Drosophila melanogaster: one gene and its partner. The protein of the gene in region 1 purifies or fractionates together with the protein of each later gene. This does not show direct contact. Each region holds a gene or a part of one and is shown on either strand. Other genes may lie near its edges. The genes, in order: mRpL18 and mRpS30.

Region 1 (3,158 bases):
GGGTTAGCAGGATCTCGCACACATTGCAGAAGCAGGCCTAGAATGAAGGGCATGTATCCTATGGTATCTCTTTCGCGGCAAGTGAATCCGCTCACCTGTTCCAACACTTTTATTGATTTCCAGCTGTGACGTGTTTTGAAGGTGCTCACAAAGTCCTCGGAAAGCAGGCTGCGGCAGAAGGCAAAGAGGATACTGAGGGCCAGCAGGGATCCTATCAGCGCCTCCACGCTCAGCTCAATAGTGCCTATGTCCATGGTCCACGCAGATAAGGCCCAATTACGCTAAATATCCTGGTAATTTGGCATATTCACAAATCGTTTGTTTTTGCCCCATCGACCAGTGTGACCGCTTCAAAGACAACAAAAAACACCTTCGACCTCAATTAAAAACACTTTTCAAGAATAAGCACTAATGCGTAATTTCGATAGGCGGAGTGACACTAGTATTTAGATTCAGGACGTTTCCAACACTGCTTGTCAACTCAACCTAACAAATCAGCTGTGAGTTTGGCGTGTGGAAAAAGTTTGATTGGGAACAAATCGGACGTCTTTAACAAAAATCTAGCCAACATGAAGGTTATCTACAACACCCTGTTCAAGCGCACCTCCACCTACGCCGTGGCCATCATCGCGTCGGCCTTTTTCTTCGAGCGCGCTCTCGATGTCACGTCGGTTGCGATTTTCGAGGGCATCAACAAAGGCGTAAGTATAATCCTGTTATGTAAGCAAAGTTTCCTGGCCAAATCTCAAGATTTCCCCGCTTTGCAGAAACTCTGGAAGGACATCAAGGGCAAATACGAATAAATTAACATGATTTGTTGTAATTAGCAATAATAATCAACGTTTATTCTAAACGAAACGATAACTAAGTGTGGTTTCTTTTGGTTATTTTGATTTGGGTGCTTCCAGTGCGTCTTCCGACACCTCCCAGGGCTTCTCATGCCTCTTCTCATCCCAGGGCTGCTCGTTGGGCAGGCGAGAGGGTTCCTTGAAGGACACCCCATTATCCTGAATGGTTTGAAGCAGCTTCTGCAGCTTGCTACCCGGTACCGCCTCCACGTTGCAGGTCATTTCCGTGATCCCAGACTGCAGGCAGCGCTGTGCGAGCACTCTGCCGAGATTTACAAACGCAGATGTGTCGTTGGTCTTGTACAACTGCTGTTTAATGGCCCATTCCGAGGTGCTGGCACTCAGGATGGTTCCATTCTCAAAGTGCTTGACATCGCCGCTGACATAGCGGCCGCTGGTGTTGATTTCCAAAGTGTGCCAGTAGGAACGACCTGGTTTCTCCAGATGATAGCCTACCGGCTTGTAGGCAATGCGTAATCTTTCCAAGTTCCGTGGATTCCGGTTGATCACGTATTCAGTGCTGGCTTGCGGGGTTGTTAATTCCTTGATTTTGTGCAGTACACGGGCGGAGGTGAGGGGGCGAGCACTGCGAGACATTTTTGCGATGGAAACCCGAAAAAAGCGCGCGTTTAATTGATATTTATGTGGAAATTACAAAACCACGATAAAATATTTTGAGCTGCCTTTAGTGTTACCAGACTGCCAGAACTGAGTGTGGGTAAACGATTTATTGGTGCTGTAAAATGTCCAAACATCAGTTGGATGTAAATGGCAAAAAACAGCTGTTTCAGATTGGTTTATCCTCAAATTTCTAGTTTCTGTAGATTCTATTGGCCTTGGAACTTTCGCCGCTCCCCACCACAATAACGCCCCCTTCAGACATGCGCCAAGTGAACACGGCGCCTCCTGCCCGTACGCCCATGAGATTGCTGCTGAGGTGAAGAAGTGGCGGTTGGGTGAAGAAGCAAGCAGTGCGCGCGTCCCAAATTGCAAAGTGATTTTTATTCGGCCCACAAAAGCCGGTTATGTAAAGACCGTATAGGCCAAATATCTACACACATATCGTACTCGTTAAATTAAGAACTTGTAGAAATGTTTATGGTCGTGTGTTCCAATTTAAGGCGTCCCGGGCACGTGGGCGCCGCATCTGCAGCGCGAAATATAAACTGGCTGATCAGCGAGGGATATACACCGCCGATCCGGGCAATGGCGCGGGTAAGCTTAATTATAGCAATTAACCCTGAAATTTTTCACCTAAATACACGCAATAAATATAAACAAAATCAGGCCATCGCTTTCTCCTTTTTTCACCACGTTCCAGAACTGACCACCAGTTCCAATCCCACCAATGGTGGCGGGAAAATTTAAATTAGCCATTGCTAAAAATGTATAGGAATCGATTTAAAAGGTGCTTTTACTACTTAAGAAAAATGCCTTTTTATGAGCACTTCATTTTAAATGCACTAAAGACACAGTTAATTGTGGAATTATCATTTTAAGCTGTTCAACTCTTGGAATATAAGAGTACTTTATTTTTAAATATTTGTTGATGAGTTTCTACGTCCGTTAGCATATACCTAACAAAGGTAAACAAAGGCATCTATTATCTACAAAAATAATCCAGATTGAGCAACTGATAAGAACACTGTTCAAACTCACCACCTTGCACAAAGCACCAAGATCCCAAACCCACCACGCTGGGCGCACAAATTTAAATGCTTATCATATCAAACCAAACCAGCGTGATCATTATACACGGAAGCGCTCGGCTAAGCACTTTTGCTAACTGATAAAGATAGTTTCACAATCTCTAGTCAACCACTTGACTGTTGCCTAACTACTTCTACTTTGGGGCCCTTTCCTTCGCTCTTTTTCGCTTTGTCTCTCTTTGTTTGGGGGCAAACGCCCTCGTTTTGTGCGTGCTTTTGCTTTTGAGCTTGTTGCACTTGGCGATTTCAGTGGAGACGAAAATCAGTTACGCACGAAAGTTCCCGCCGTCCGGATGCGAAAGATTCTCAGGTGCCCAATGTAATACATCTCGAACCGAGTGAAGGTCGCCATAGATCTCTGACGACGTGAGTTTTTCCTGCATTATTATTCGCGCGAAAATGCAGTGCGGTGTCTCGCAGCAACAGATTTTCAGTGCGCATGCTGCTAACCTGTGGCACAAAGGCGGCTTTTGCGGGGGTTGTTGGGTTAGTCGAACAGTTGACAAAGGAATAATTCAAATAGAAATCAAAATGCGTAACACTGAGAGGCGTTTGGCTAGACACAAGCACAAAAGGAAACTATTCTTGGGCCCGATAAGAT
Region 2 (4,694 bases), on another chromosome or scaffold:
ATTTTTATAGTCGAACATATCGTGATGACTGATACTGCCGTCGGTCTGGACCAAACCCTTGTCAATGGCCACCGTCTGGACGCGATACAAGCCCTTGGTCAATCCATTGACCACCTCGTTGATTTTGGCATTCTTTTCGCGCAACTTATTGGGCTGCTGGCCACGCGGCAGTAGCGACTGCAAGGGAGAGATGGGAATGTCGATGATTTACTGCGGCTGGCTAATACCACAACTATTGTACTTACGGGCAAAACGATATAGGCGTTGGGCAGCTTTTGCCGGATTTTCGTTACGTTCGCGAGCACACCCTCGGCCACTTCCTCCGCGCTGTTCCGCACATTATTGGTGCCCACATGGAGGACGACGATTTTGGGATTCACATTGTCCAGCGCACCGTTTTCGATGCGCCACAGTACGTGCTCGGTGCAGTCGTCGCGAATGCTGAAGTTAAGGCAGTGCAGCGGCGCAAAGTACTTATTCCAGGCCTCCGTGTCCTGGACGGTCTCGAAGATGCAGTCGCCGAGGAATATCACATCCGGATCCTTTTCGCGGCAATCGGAGATGAACCGGCGATGTATGCTGTGCCAACGCTTGTCGCCATCCAGATCGGGCAATGGGGTGGGCAGCACACAGGGATTCATTTCGTCGGCGTGCTCAGACTCAGTTGCAGACCAATATTGAGTTTTAGTTAAAGATTCCGATTCCTATTCCTATTTCGATTTCGATTCAGTTGCAGTTTCAGCATGCGGATGAATGAGGCATCGTCTGCGGCTTAGTCTTACCGGATACTTGGGCGTTCTGCTCGGCTTGCAGTGACAGCGTTGCAGTCGTGGACAAACAATTGAACTGATAGTCGCTAGCATAAACAACTCCGTACCGTTGTTTACTTTAATAAATCGTTTTTATGGCGAAGATTTTTTTTTTGTTTTTTTTTTTTTGTGTTTTAGGTTACCTCAACATTAACATCCGTAAATGTCGTAGAATTATGTGGCCACCCTCGTGTACATGGAAATTGCCAAGGATTTAAGGTTGAAAATTTTTATAAGTTTATTTTAATTTGGTGTAGAAAATCTACGATTTTCTTGGTAAGCGTTTATGTTTTCGTTTTTAGAGAGATGGTAGATGTCTTGGTATTTTTCCAGGGCTGGAAAGTGTTGTCTAGCAATGTTGCACTTGGCACAGCTGAAAAAGATGTGGGATACGTTATCGAAAACGTTACACGGTCACATATGTTACTGTTTGTAACGTGCATTTTATTCAAAATTGTCAAAAGCGTTATCGCAGAGAAGTCTGTTAATTATTTTGATCTCTGTTGATTTAAGTTTACAATTGTGATTTTTAAGGCATGTGCCTTTAAGCCATATGCCATTATTTCAAGGGGAAAATATACCAAATGAAACAAGACTATTTTTTAGCTTTTTCTAGACAGCTTAAAAAATATTACGATGATTTATAACTGATTTCAGAAATAAAAAGATTTGAAACATAAGCAAGTTAAATTTTGTACCCCTACACGTTAAATAGTAAAGGACTATGATTCATTATGAATTATTATTGAACTGCATAAATAGAAATTATACCATTACTTTCACTGGCATCGCAAAACTTTCCGTCGCTACCTTGGCGCAACCTATTCTGAATCCAGCGTGCGGTCACACTGCAGCAATGACATAACCTAGTTATTGTCAAAAAACTGAAGTCAATTCTATTCCTTCGAAAACATAAATCGTAACTTGCGTTAGGTTCGACGGCATGTTGAAGCTTAACCGTGTTCGCCATCTGCGAACGACGTACAAGCGCTGTTTGTCCGGCCAGTCGCAGCTGCAGCTGAATAGTACGGACGCAGAGCCGGCATATCCGGAGATTCAGGATCTGTCCTTCAAGGCGCGCAAGCAGAAGGATGCGGCCAACTGGCACGAGGAAATCCGGCAGGTGCCGACGGTGGAGGAGAAGATGATCAAGATCAATATGCCCCGCTATTACGGCTTCAAGGTGGTCGACTTCAACGACTCGAAAATCCCCTACAATGCACTGCCGCTCACGCAACATTATACGCGCACAGTGCTCGAGGATTTGCCATCTGAAACGGATAAGAAGGCACAGGCTAAGGACTCCGAGCAGGAGCAGGAGCAGCCGAGCGTGGATGGTCTTTTCAAGGCGGCTCGCGGGGATGTTATTGATGCCCTCGAGTTTGCCCACGACTACTACAAGTGGGTACAACGAGGTCCGCTTTCAACGAACCAAGTTCTCCGGCGAGTTTGTGGACAGTAGTTGGTCCAACTCACTTAAGAACTCGGATTGGTTGGAGTGGTCCCAGTTACAAGTTCGACCGTCTGATATTAATGTATTCATTCTCCTCCATTACCAAGCGTAGGCATCTGGAAAAGCAACACAACTCTGCCGAATCGAACCCCGTTGAACGTGAGCGCATCCTAACGCAGATCATTGTAGAACAGCTGAACAGAGCTCTGCTGCAGTCGCTCAGCGAGGAGTACAAGCACCTGGATGAGCTCGATGTCGACTACAATCCACGCCACGAAGCGTTCTGGGCCGTTGGCGGCGTAGATCCTCCCAAGAACGTGCAGAAATCGAAGAAGGGCCGGGAATGGCAAAAGGATATGGCAAACGAGAGCGTTGATCGGATGGTTCAGTATACGGGAGCGCCGTATCTTGCCCTACGCCATCGCAAGCAATTGACGCCGTGGAAAACGGAAGCGGAAAGCGAAAACCTCGAGCTGAGCAAACAGCTGCCCCGTTTCAAGCACGACCCGCGAACCCTCGGCTACAGCACCAAGCATCAGCACGCCACCAATGTGCCAGGCTATTGGCCCAAAGGAAATGAGAATAACTTCGGCCTGCTCTCATTTCAATCGCGTGCACACCTGCAGATCCGTCCGAAATCGTTCGGCGAGCAGGATCAGCTGGAGGCATTGCATTCGCTGGCGATTAAATCGTCATACGCCTGGCTTTTGGCCCAGGCGAACTACAATGGCTTCAACACCTACAACGAACTGACCTATCCCATGAACACTCAAACTGTGATCACGAACGGCAGGGAATGGAGCTTTTATGAGTATCAGCTTAATACGCTGCTGCTGCACGGCACAAACGTGGCGGAAAATCCCCGTGTCAACTTCTGTCGCGGTACAAAGCCACTTCCACTGTACGCCGAGATTTCGGCAAGCGGCAAGTGCGTTGATTTCAACGATAACGCACTGCGGCACCTGCTCAATTTCTATGCCAATGCGCCATCGATTCAGCGGAGCATTGGGGAGCAGCAGCCGTATGTTGCCTCCGACGTTTCCGCCTATGAGAACGCCGAACAGCGTGACTTTATCAATAAGACCTTCAAATATTTGGCATCAAACCGACCGCGACACTTGGAGCTGCCCGAAATCTACCTGTGGGAGAAGCTATACAAGATCGATAACAACAATCGTGCCATGGAGGCTAAGAGACGCTTCTTCGAGCTGGACATCAATCCTTGGCAGCGAACGCTGGACACACATGACAAGGAGTATGTTCCACGTGCGGTCCGACCAGACGTCCCTAAGAATAAGAACAGGTTCAAGAAGACGTACTACCCTTAAATGAATAAATATAAAACACTTCCTAAGGTTACACTTGTTAAAAATGCTGAATTTTTAATGTGAAATACTGGATTGCAGATTCGGAGCAACGAAACGGTGTACAAAGTTTCTTTAAACTTTGATTAACTCAATTTTCCGCAAACTTTTGTCAGTATGTTAATGATTTTTAATATAAATATTTTGTTAAATTTCAATTTAAATTCTATGCCATACAAAGTATATATATTTATTAACTTTGTTATGCTTGTGGTTAAACACTTCTGTAAATTTATAAGCTAGTCTTTTTTATCTTAAATTCTTTCAAATAGATATGATTATACAAATACCTGGAATTTTGCCAATTATTAGTGCTGATGATGCTAAAACTTGCCAATGCAATGCTTCTTATCATTATTTAATTGTTTATGCAGCACATATTTATTCTAGATTCCATTGTTTATTTCATTTATCAGCACTGCAAACATACCGAAGTTATCTCAAAAAGTGGGTAAAATGCGGTTACACTGCACCAGAACCATATTTTTCGAACGTAAAAAAGGTTTATAATGCTATAGTGTAGTTTAAATCTTTTTACCAAATCATATATTGTTTGAACATAATAGTGCACTAAGGTTTATATGATATTCCATATAAGTACACTTCAAACTCTTACTTAGTCTGGTAATATGTATGCATTAATTAATTACTTGATTATTTTATTATCCCATTTATTATAGTAGTTTTACATTTACGATAATAGCTTTATAGTCCACTACATCAAAGTTAGGATTGCTGAAAAAGTTACCACTTGTTGGTTATTTCGGTAACGTCCCAGCTAACCGTATGGTATGTTATAACGGCCGTGCGACGGTCACACTGGATCTGAATAGTTAGGCTCGAGTAAATAACCAGTTTGAGACTTTACGGTGGTTCGGAAACTCGTATCTGGCGCTTCGGTTGTCCAAAAAGGTAGAGCAGTAACCTGTTGCATATATATTTCTTTTTTTTTTGGTAATAGTGGAAAGTGTAGTGCAGACAAGTCGAACCCAACTGATATTGAGTCGAAATTCCGTTGGGCAAGTGCTGAAAAATCTTGAATATTGATCGTGGAGTATGTGGATACGG

Evidence for each region.
Region 2: the proteins of mRpL18 (region 1) and mRpS30 purify together in Drosophila melanogaster (affinity purification with mass spectrometry, with the first as the bait; one large-scale study listed by BioGRID). This does not show direct contact.

The regions. Positions count from the first base shown.
Region 1 is NT_033778.4:12,754,841-12,757,998, reverse strand, and holds mRpL18 (mitochondrial ribosomal protein L18), read right to left. Parts: upstream 1,566-3,158; 5' UTR 1,446-1,565; coding exon 885-1,445; 3' UTR 826-884; downstream 1-825. Other genes in the region: Dgkepsilon (diacyl glycerol kinase epsilon), read right to left, coding at 1-37, 96-254; ox (oxen), read left to right, coding at 570-701, 768-803; Taz (tafazzin), read left to right, coding at 1,941-2,063.
Region 2 is NC_004354.4:15,784,420-15,789,113, forward strand, and holds mRpS30 (mitochondrial ribosomal protein S30), read left to right. Parts: upstream 1-1,627; 5' UTR 1,628-1,752; coding exon 1,753-2,210; intron 2,211-2,374; coding exon 2,375-3,590; 3' UTR 3,591-3,869; downstream 3,870-4,694. Other genes in the region: Paf-AHalpha (Platelet-activating factor acetylhydrolase alpha), read right to left, coding at 1-177, 246-641.